3 linked regions of the Macaca mulatta genome follow. The protein of the gene in region 3 interacts with the protein of the main gene of each other region in a biochemical or structural test. Links are inferred from orthologs where the notes say so. Each region holds a gene or a part of one and is shown on either strand. Other genes may lie near its edges. The genes, in order: DDX3X, SIMC1 and SUMO2.

What was found.
Region 1: the proteins of SUMO2 (region 3) and DDX3X form a complex in vitro, tested with the Homo sapiens proteins (2 studies listed by BioGRID). The link is inferred for Macaca mulatta from reciprocal best matches to the Homo sapiens genes SUMO2 and DDX3X.
Region 2: the proteins of SUMO2 (region 3) and SIMC1 form a complex in vitro, tested with the Homo sapiens proteins (2 studies listed by BioGRID, with this or other methods). The link is inferred for Macaca mulatta from reciprocal best matches to the Homo sapiens genes SUMO2 and SIMC1.

The regions. Positions count from the first base shown.
Region 1 is NC_133426.1:41,240,308-41,243,958, reverse strand, and holds part of DDX3X (ATP-dependent RNA helicase DDX3X), read right to left. Parts: intron 2,605-3,651; coding exon 2,472-2,604; intron 1,595-2,471; coding exon 1,436-1,594; intron 1,358-1,435; coding exon 1,258-1,357; intron 882-1,257; coding exon 746-881; intron 362-745; coding exon 276-361; intron 66-275; coding exon 1-65. UniProt on the Homo sapiens protein: Multifunctional ATP-dependent RNA helicase. The ATPase activity can be stimulated by various ribo-and deoxynucleic acids indicative for a relaxed substrate specificity.
Region 2 is NC_133411.1:185,230,575-185,234,225, reverse strand, and holds part of SIMC1 (SUMO-interacting motif-containing protein 1), read right to left. Parts: intron 3,248-3,651; coding exon 3,015-3,247; intron 2,235-3,014; coding exon 2,165-2,234; intron 1-2,164.
Region 3 is NC_133421.1:84,873,767-84,877,517, forward strand, and holds the start of SUMO2 (small ubiquitin-related modifier 2), read right to left. Parts: upstream 2,447-3,751; 5' UTR 2,318-2,446; coding exon 2,297-2,317; intron 683-2,296; coding exon 551-682; intron 1-550. UniProt on the Homo sapiens protein: Ubiquitin-like protein that can be covalently attached to proteins as a monomer or as a lysine-linked polymer.

The sequences.
Region 1 (3,651 bases), on a different chromosome or scaffold from region 3:
TCTCTCGTTGGTGCTAATACCAAGGAGATTGGGTACTGTTTGCGGCGCCCATACCTTCCATTTTCCTAAGAAATAAATCAATTTTTAAGTTAACTCTACCTACCCTGTTTGAAAAGTTCATCACAACATAATTCCCTTTTGTAATTTATAGATTACAGATTACACTTGAAAACTGTTTTTCATTCGACTTAAGTCTTAGCATCATTTAGAAAGCCCTCTCAATGGCCTCCTACAAAGTTCTACAATAATTTCCCATTTTATAAAGAAACATCTACCTTCATGGCCCTCAAAGCCTCGCCTGGACCATCTGAATAAATCTGACTCAAGATGGGCAAGAGAAATGCTGCAGTTTTTCCAGACCCTGTTCAAAAACAAACAAATCCTGCTCATTAATTTTAAACAGACATTGGTAGATGACAGTGTTTTTTAACTGCCCTATTACTAGTAATTAGTACTTTTAGTTTATGATTAAGTTTTCCAAAAAGTGGCTTCTTTGGTCCATCTCTAAGAGGAGTCAGCAAACTGAGACAACTATTTTTGTAAATAAAGCCTGCTATTTTTATAAATACAGCTCTTACGGAATACAGCCATACCCAATAATTTATGTATCATCTATGGCTTCTCTCACAGTCCAATAGCAGCGCTGAGCAGCTGCAAAACTGCATGGCCCATAAAAAAATATTTTATTGTCTAGTCCTTTACAGAAAAAATATGATAATGTTTTACTCTTATGAGCTGAGCTTACCTGTTTGGGCACAAGCCATCAAGTCTCTTTTCTCTTTGATAATAGGAATAGCGTGCTTCTGCACTGGAGTTGGGCGAGTATAACGAGTAAGCTCAATGTTTCCCATGATAATTTCTCCCATCTCAACATCACTGAACTGTGAAGAAATTCAATGGGGTTAGAAATGCTATCTAAAGCTATTTCTGTTTTATACTAATAATGGAAACAACCAACAGCTGATTTGTAACTCAGCTTATAGTTTAAGAAAATTACCATATTATACTTTTGAGAAAAAACAACCCCCAGGCTTACTGCACATTGGAGAAGACTTTGGGTTGTTCCTATGTTTGACCCATTTTCTATTTTAGGTAATAAATTATTCATAATGGTGACACTGAACTCAACTTCTCCTTTTCCACAAATCTATGAAGCTGCTGGTCTACATGACTTTATGAAGCTCACCTCACATTCTAATGTACCATGAAAACATTTACACATCCCTGTGTCTTTAAAAGTCAAGTAAAAATACTTACACTTTCAATATGTGGAGGACAGTTGTTGCCTGTTGCCTCAACTGGAATGTCATCATATTTCTCAAAATTAATCCCAGTGTTGCCTCCAGAAAAGAGTTCCCTCAAATCAAAAGATGGGTAAGTTCATTTGTTATACTATAATGCTTCATCACAAGTAACATACACTTCAAAAACTTACTGTTCCAAGCGTTCACTTGGTGGGAGTGGTTTTGACCAATCATCTTCATCTGATTTGTCACACCAGCGACTGTTTCCACCACGTTCAAATTTGCCAAAGCCACTTCTGTCACCACGGCTGCCAATGCCGTCATAATCACTCCGTCCACGATCATCAAACCTGAACAGCACAAGCAATTAATCAGAATCATATCATTTAACCATTATCAGATTCTTATCCCTACTCTAGAACTGTATCTGGAGACTTAAGTTATGGCTAACTATAAGGATGTCAACAATCCAATTCTGAGTTATTTGACAAATAAGGCTCTCTAACCAGCATCATTTACAGAACCTCATTTTCTAAAATCAGTAATCTTTATATTTCTATAAAGTCGTATAGCCTAAAAAGCCTCGCAGATGACAAAATTAAGAATAAAGATTTTACTTGAAACTGGCAAACAGCTCACAACCTTCATTTAAAGTGCTCATCCAAATATATTTAATGGTAGGGAAAAGAAGAAAATAGCACACCGAATATCAATTGTCCTAGTTATAATAGGATGTCACTTAAAGGACAATTCACCTGTGTGACTTTGGATAAAAGGTAGAAAATAATCCTTACCTGAACTAAGATGTTATTAGAGTTTTAGGCCTGTTTGCGAAAAATCAGGACACAGGACTAACAACAGCTATTAGGCACATGGGGTCAGTTCACCATACTTGTGTAACCAAAAATACAAGGTATTTAGAAATTGTTATAGAGTCCACAAAAATCCCAACCAAATTAGGCCATTCACTAGAGGAACTTACTCTTTTAAGTGGAACATATAAAACTCGAGAAATAGAATAACTCATTTCATTATGCCAATGAACATATTCCTATTTTCATCTAATTTCTAACTAAGAGGTTCAATTTAGTAAAAGCCTCTTACAGCCAAGAAAATACAATGACTAAACAGACATAATGCTTGACATCCAAATGGGTGGTCAGGATAAGAACTTACTAAACTGTTATTACACATACACATAAGGTGGTAAGACAAGAAATCACTTACCTTCCCCTTGATCCACTTCCACGATCACTGAAGAAGCTAGACTTCCCTCTTGAATCACTACGAGATCCAAAACTGCTATACGCATCCTTATCTTTGCTAGAACTCCACCCTGAACTGTCTTTGTCGTAGAAACCTTCGATTAAAAGAGCACAAATCCATTTTATTATTAATTAGAAATAGGAACCATGTTAAGGTATTATCAATCTTTCTGAATTTGAAGGCCTCCACTATCTTATCTCTGTGGGCTTGAGGTTCAATCTCAAGATATTCCTACCATGGTCCTATAAGACAACCAAGATTTACAGCTGGTTTACACCAGGACAAAGTTTTTAATTCTCCCCACCAGAAAATATTGTCCACTGGCCAGGAACGGTGGCTCACGCCTGTAATCCCAGCACTTTGGGAGGCCAAGGCGGGCAGGTCACTTGAGGTCAGGAGTTCGAGACTAGCCCGACCAACGTGGAAATCCCGTCTCTCTAAAAATACAAAATTAGCCGGGCGTGGTGGCACATGTCTGCAATCCCAGCCACTCAGGAGGATGAGGTAGGAGAATCACTTGAACCTGGGAGGTGGAGGTTGCAGTGAGCCAAGATCGCGCCATTGCACTCCAGCACGGGAAACGAGTGAAACTCTTGTCTCAAAAAAAAAAAAAAATTTTACTGTACACTAAATCAAGCAATCTGACTTGTTTTTGAATGAATACTACCTCTAAGTGGTCAACAGCTTTGCCTATAACACATTGATTATGATACTGTTGTATGATCATCACAATTTAATTTCCATTCATTTTATAGGTGTGAATGGGTTTACTAGGAAACAGTTACTATTGTTTCCATGTTTCTTGGAGGTGGTATTCATTTAGAACATTCTTAGACTGTCAGATTACTTGGTTTAATGCAATATTTTTCAGTTTCAATAGTATAAAGCACAAGAATACTACTGTCAAATGGTACTATTATTTTAGTGGTTCGTCTACTATAAGCTTGATGACAATCAGGAATACCTGGGAAAAAGAAAAACCCTCATCACTATATATTCTCAGTATAGACAAGGTTCCTGGGTACAGCTATAAATATCCAAGTAAGTGGATGACAAACATGTAAATTAGCCCAAAGACAGATAGAGGGTTTAAACACAAGTAGAGTGTTTAGCTTCAGGAACACCTTATTAGTCAGAAACA
Region 2 (3,651 bases), on a different chromosome or scaffold from region 3:
ATGCACCACCACACCCAGCTAATGTTTGTATTTTTAGTACAGACAGGGTTTCACCATGTTGGCTGAGCTGGCCTAGAACTCCCGACCTCAGGTGATACTCCCACCTCAGTCTCCCACTCCAGGAAAGGCACGGTGGCTCATGCCTGTAATCCCAGCACTTTGGGAGGCCGAGGTGGGCGGCCAGGCAGCCCCCATACAAGTCAGTACATTGTATGCATGGTCCACTCTTTTGTTTCTGGCCCAAGGGAAGAGCCAAGGTATGGGAGGTTTTCTCCTGGTTGAACCATGCTTTGCCAGGCAGGGAGAGGCACATGGGCATGTAAAATGCCACAAACTTTCCTAGCACTTTTGATAGACTATGCTCTGGGTTAGGCATTGGCCTGGGCACTGAAGCTTCTTAATTCGGCTCTAGAGTTCTCACAGTGATATTCTGGCCTGTATATGGTTGTTAATTCAGTGTCTCCATGGGGTAACAAGGGCCTGGAGCTTCCTAGTCTACCATCTTGCTGATGTCTCCCAGACTGTTCCTATTTAAAGTCCTCCGTTATTTCACTCCAATCTGGACTAATTGCTTCCTAGGTGCGCTCTTCATCGTAATTTTGGGACATCTCTTCAATATTCTCCTGGATTAAATCTGATGTTCCCTGGATCCCATGCCTTCCCGCTTTTTTTGATTACTTCCTCATGCCTTTGATACACTACCTCAGTAACCTCCTAAGAAACAGGGTGTGGGGATATATTCTCAAATTCCTGCATAGCTGGAAATGTCTTAATTCTATCCTCACACTTAACTGATAGTTTGGCTATGTACAGAATTCTAAGTTGAAAGTAATTTGTTGTAGCTAATTGCTTTAGGTGAGCAGACAAAAAGTTGGCTATTAAACTCGGGGATCCTTAAAGGTCAGAATGTGGAAGACCTTTTTCCTGTAGCACCAACTCTGCACTAGCTCTTTGTTTATTACAGACGGTTCCTTCAACTTTTTTTTTTTTTTTTTGAGACGGAGTTTCATTCTTGCTGCCCAGGCTGGAGTGCAATGGCATTATCTTGGCTCACTGCAAATTCCACCTCTCGGGTTCAAGCGATTCCCCTGCCTCAGCCTCCTGAGTAGCTGGGATTACAAACATGTGCCACCACACCCAGTTCATGTTGTATTTTTAGTAGAGATGGGGTTTCTCCATGTTGGGCAGGCTGGTCTCAAACTCCCGACCTCATGTGATCTGCCCGCCTTGGCCTCCCAAAGTGCTGGGATTACAGGCATGAGCCACCGTGCCCAGCCTCATTAAACTTTTTTAGACAATAAATTCTCTCACTTTTTGCCTGAAGGTGGGTAACCTGGCTACTGATCCTCCTGTCCTCAGAAGAGGTTGGCTGTTCCATCCACCAACTTTCAAAATAAATATCCAATTACAGCCCACATCTGACTCCTGCCCTCTATTAGATACTGTGTTTCTGAGTCCAAGACCTCTCTGGTGCTCTAAAGGGAAGATTCGTCCTTCCTTGGCTGTAGCCTCTCTACATGTATATGGCTTTCTCTGCCCAGCTTCATCAGTCATTACTCTTACATTCTCTGTAGGTCTCCCTAATCTTCATTCAAATCCACTATCCTTCCCCCTTTTTTATAGCCATGAATTTATAACTTTCTCTATTCATTTACTATTATTTTTAATGGGATCTCAAGGAGAGGGATAAGTAAACATACTAAATCTTGAATTGGAAGACAGCACATACCATTTCAATAGGAATTTTTTGGCAGGGGTGGGAGTATCAGGAGGGAATAATGGTGTAGACTTTATTACCAGATTTACTGTCACTTTTCTTTTCAGACAGGGTCTTGCTCTGTCACCCAGGCTGGAATAGTGTTGTGATCATGGATCACTGGCCTCGACCTCCTAGGCTCAAGCAATCCTCTTGCCTCAGGCTTCCATGTAGCTGGGACCACAGGCATGCGTCACTATGCCTGGTTAATTTTTTATTTTTATTTTTGTAGAGACAGGGTCTCACTTTGTTGCCCAGGCTGGCCTTGAACTCCCGGGCTCAAACTGTCCTCCTGCCTCGGCCTCCAAAAATGTTGGGATTATAGGTATGAGCCATGGCACCTGGTATCACTTTTCTTTACAGTTAAAACTTCCCCTACAGAAGATATAACCTCGTAATTGTTGTTACCTCTTCCTCCATGACGTAGGTGAGCAGTTTCCAGTCCCACTCCACTGTCTTGGCATTGGCTGGATGTAGCCTGAAAGTCAAGTGAAATCAATTAGAATTATGGAGAATTTAGAGGGAGAAGGGATGGGATCTGGAAGGTGATAGAAGGAAGAAGCCTCTTCTTATCCTCCACGCTCTTGCTCACCCTGTGGTATTATACCATGTCAATCTGAGAGTAGTGGAACTTCATTGTTTTTTGCTACCCAGTATCCACTCCCCTTTTGGAAAGCTTTAGTACTATAATTTTGTCTTAAGAAACCAACTCTTCACTACTCTTAACCAACTAGTTTTACCTACCAGAACGCCAAAATGAAGTATATGACTTTTTTAGCCAATCATGCTGTTCTACCCCTCAATTCACAGTGATTGGCTCAAAGATATAGTCATGTCTCTCATTAGGCCAATTAAATCCTGCAAGACTCAATTTCAGAACTCTTGGGTGACTGTAAAGGAAACAGACACTCTCTCCCACTGGAAGTGTCATAAAAGCCTGAGGGTGAGAGGGCTACCACACGCAGCCCCAAAACAGAACCAAAGTAGAGCTGCAAAATGAATCCTGGTAACCATTTTTGTATACTGAATCAAGTCACATCTTACTCCTAGGTTTCTAGTAACAAGAGGCATTACATTCTCTTTTACCAGTAGTTAAGGTCTGCTTAGACTGGGTTTCTTATCATTTGCAATTTAAATAACACTAATATACTAAGTCACCCACTGTGTAACAAGTTAAAAAAGCCTGTCAAGAGAAAGCTATGCCCTGAGTCCAAGATCCCTAGAAGATTCACCAACAGCCAGAGGTTACGGTTCATACTGTTGAATTTTCATGAGAAGCATGTAGGCCTCCTTTAGGACATCCACAGTCTCAGAGCCACTGAGCAAGATTTTCTGGATGATGTGAGCCACAATTTCTCTTGGTGGGTAATGCTGGGGTGACACAAAGTCCATCAAAAACTGCACAGTCCCCAGGGGAAAATTCTCTTCAATGGTATTTGCTACCATTCTTAGTCTTCGATGAGGGATGGGTTCTAATTTTTGACCCTTGTTCTGTAGAGATTAAAAAGAAGGAAATTAGGAGGGATTTCTGTAGAATACAAAAATAAGAGGTTCTAGAATAGGTTGAAGACAGCAACGTTTTCCAGGCATTTGAAATATTTCATAATGAGAAAAAAAAAAGAGGCTGGGTGTAGTAGCTCACACCTGTAATCCCAGCACTTTGGGAGGCCAAGGCAGGTGAACTGCTTGAGGTCAGGAGTTCGAGAGCAGCCTGACCGACATGGTGAAACCCCGTCTCTACTAAAAATATAAAAATTAACCAGACGTGGTGGCATGTGTCTGTAGTCCCAGCTACTTGAAGGCTGAGACATGAGAATTCCTTGAACCTGGAAGGTGGAGGCTGTAGTCAACTGAGATGGCGCCACTGTACTCCAGCCTAGGTGTCAGAGCGAGAC
Region 3 (3,751 bases):
ATGAAACCCCATCTCTACCAAAAATACTAAAAAAAATTGGCCAAGCGTGGTGGCAGGCACCTGTAATCCCAGCTACTCAGGAGGCTGAGGCAGGAAAACTGCTTGAACCCGGGAAGTGGAAGTTGCAGTGAGCTGAGCTCACGCCACTGTACTTCAGCTTGAGCAACAAGAATGAAACTCCGTCTCAAAAAAATAAAATAAAATAATAAAAGACTCTTAAGTAATTTTACCAAGTTCACTCTTACTTTCTTATAAACATAAAATTACATTTCCTTGGTTAAAAAAAAAACCAAAAAACAAGTATTGTAAATACAATTTGATGGATTTCTGGCACAGGACTGGAACCACATATAATACTAAGCAAATCATCCTAAGGGTTTTCATGAGCAAGCTACCAAGTGCACGATAAAACTGACATGCCAAGTACAAGTGCATATTCATCCCATCAAAAAGTCACTGTAGTATTATGCCAGGCTAGTTTTTGTTCCCATGAAAATAAGATTTTTAAAAATAGTTTTATTCAGTGGAAGTACACATATGAATTCCTCACCTGTCGTTCACAATAGGCTTTCATTAGTTTACTAAGTGGTGTATGCCTCTTAATCTTAAACTGCACCACAGAACCATCCTGCCCCGCCACCTTCAAATTAATATGATCGTTGTTCTCAGTCTTGACTCCTTCCTGTTAAAAGAAAAATAAAAGTATAATTTGGGAAATGTGATCAACACACACTTTTATAAAGCAGCAGCAGCCCTAAGTTGCTTCAAAAATCAACAGGTTTCTCATACGGTATGCTAAAACGGCATACGGCTGTTTTCAGCTGCTGAAATCAATGTGAAAGAGGAGAAATCCTGCAGCAACAGTATTAGATAGCTGTCAGATACAGAAAAGCCTACATGCAATACTATCAGTAACAACAATACATGTTTAAAGTTGGGTCCTATTCAGTGTATTGAACGTTCTCTTGAAGCTAAACTTTCTAAAATGGCATATATCACTCCCAAAATATATATTTTACCCCCAAAAAAAGTTAAAAATAAGAGTCTCTTTTCTAAGCACTTTAAGTACAACTGCAAGAAACAAAACAATAAATCTACAGCCTGCCATTCAAAACTCATTACCGTTGTCGTTAAAAAGTTACCAAACTCAGTTTAATAACCTAAATCCAATCTCCATTAAAGTAAACACACACACGAAAAATCGAAGAATATCCCGATTCCCTCCGGAACAGCGGTAATACTCAGGACCACAGTTACGTTCTCCTCTATTAGCAGCTTCATTTTTATCTTCGGTTAAGAGCACTTATTCTCCCCTCCCCTTTGTTGTCATGGGTCAAATACACAGTTTTATCCCAAGTGTTTCTTGTAGATTTCGACCCAACCTAAAGTTGTCCAAAATCGAGTGTAGAAGGCATGCTGTAGCCCTAAAACGCTTCAGAAAGTAAAGGCGCGAGAGGCGGGAGGTGTCACCAAACTAAAAGCAGCAAGTCCCGTGTGCCCCGATGATGGGTGTCCCCCAGTCCTCCCGGGAAGTCTTCGGGTGCCTCAAAAGCCGCATTCAAAAGTTAAGCCGCACAAAGTCTCTCTGCTCCTACCTGTGCCTCCAACTTCATGAAACCACATGGTCTTCGCGGATTAGGGGTTCGTTGGCACCCAGGGAAAAGCCGCTGCCCCTCCCCCCTCAGGTCCCTGAGGCCATTAAAGTGGGAAATACTCCACGGGAATCCCCCTACCCCCAGGCCCAGTACGGCGGCCAGCGGGCATCCAGGTTCCTGCTCATCAGCAGCCCATTGATTCGCCCCGAACCCTCGCCCCGCCGCCGCCGCCCCGGGCAGGAGTCCCCAGATGCCCGCGGTTTCTACCCCTGAGAGGTGAAGCCCGAGCCCAGGGGACTCCCCGCCGCCTCGGAGACTGCAACACCCGACGCGGGGTCGGCGCAGGGTGGAGACCCCGCGCGCCCTAACGCCCCTCCTCACGCGCGCCGGACGGCTGGGCCAAGAATCCCCGTTCGGGGCTGGTGGGCCCGCGGGCGTCCGCGATCTGCCCGCCCAACTCGCGCCCCGCGCGCACTCGGAGGCCGCCGGGGGCGGGAGAGAGCGGCGGGGCCTCCTCCGGCGCGGGAGGGAGGAAGAGAGGGAGGGAGGAAAATGGCGCGGAGCGCCGGGGCCTGAGCTGCGGCCGGCCCTGTGGGGGGCCCGGGAAGGCGCTGGGAGCCAGCGGCGAGCTCTGGCCGGACCCCGGCCCGCGCCCTGACCCCGACCGCGCGGCGAGGCGAAGGGGCCGGCGCCGAGCTCACCTTGGGCTTTTCGTCGGCCATGGCGAGCGCCGGAGTCTCCTCAGCTGCCGCTTCACAAAAGAGGTACCAGGTCCGCACCAAACGAGCACACAAGCAGCACCAGGAGCGGCAGAAGAAGGAGGCGGCAGCGGTGGACGAGGGAGAGGGTGCGCGCACGTCGTGCGCTCCCTCCCCCCACCCTGCGTGCGCGAGCACGAGCCGCCGGGGCCTCCCATTGGCTGGCGCCTCGCGGGAGCGCGCAACGCTTACATAACCACCCCCACCCCCCGCCCCGCGCCACCGCGTCCTGGGCCAGGCGCCCGCCCGGCCGGCGGGAAGAAGCGCGGACACGCGCACCCGGCCCGCCGCGGGGGCGCGCCTGGCTCTGGGCGGGGCTGTATTGTCCTCCTTCGTGGTGGAGCATAATCAAAATGGCTTCCAGCTGGTCCTCGGTGGGAACGATGAGGCTCGAGGCTTTAGACGTGAGCCATAGGCCAGGGAAGGCTGACTGACTAGAGGAAGAAGGGGATTCCTAAATCAAAGCCCCAGCATGAGGTTCTGGAAAAATCTCTCTCTTTCAGTGGACCAGCAGCCCTCCCATGGTTACTTCCTCTCAGTCAGTCTTAACCTGCTTCCCACCGGACTCTTGCCTCAAATGCAGTGTCTTCTTCTTTTTTTTTTTTTTTTTTTTTGAGACGGAGTCTCGCTCTGTTGCCCAGGCTGGAGTGCAGTGGCACGATCTCGGCTCACAGCAACCTCTGCCTCCCAGGTTCAAGCGATTCTCCTGCCTCAGCCTCCCGAGGAGCTGGTATTACAGGCGCACGCCACAACACCCGGCTAATTTTTTGTATTTTTCGTAGGGACAAGGTTTCCCCGTGTTAGCCAGGATGGTCTCGGTCTTCTGACCTCGTGATCCGCCCGCCTCGGCCTCCCAAAGTACTGGGATTACAGGCGTGAGCCACCATACCCGGCCTGCAGTGTCTTCTTCTGTCCTGCTGGTAACCCTAGACTTTGACTAGCTACGGGAAAATGTTCGTGTATTCATTCAACGAACTCCTTACTCATCGCCTATCTTCCAAGAGGAAACAGTATCCTTAAGCGAGAACTACCCAACAATCAAGCTTCCAGCCAATTTAATCATTTCCTCCTTGCATCCAGTTAAAACATAGACATGCATCCCTCCTGTCTGAAGAACAATCCAGTGTGTGCACTGGATTCCATCTTGCTCCTCCCCCTGGGCTTTATTATTTGCTTTTGTCCCTGAATTTTCTTCCTCTCCTCCGTTAGTATAGAAAAAAAAAAAAAAAAAGAAGAAGCTCTCAATTCTATTAAGTTACCATCCTATCTCTCTCCATTCTTGGCCAAACAGCTTGAAAAAATGTCCCTGCCAGCTGTCTCCAACCCCTCCCCTCCCACTCACTCCTCAACCCACTGCAATCTGGTGCTGTCCCCAAAGTTCCACTAAAACTGCTCTCC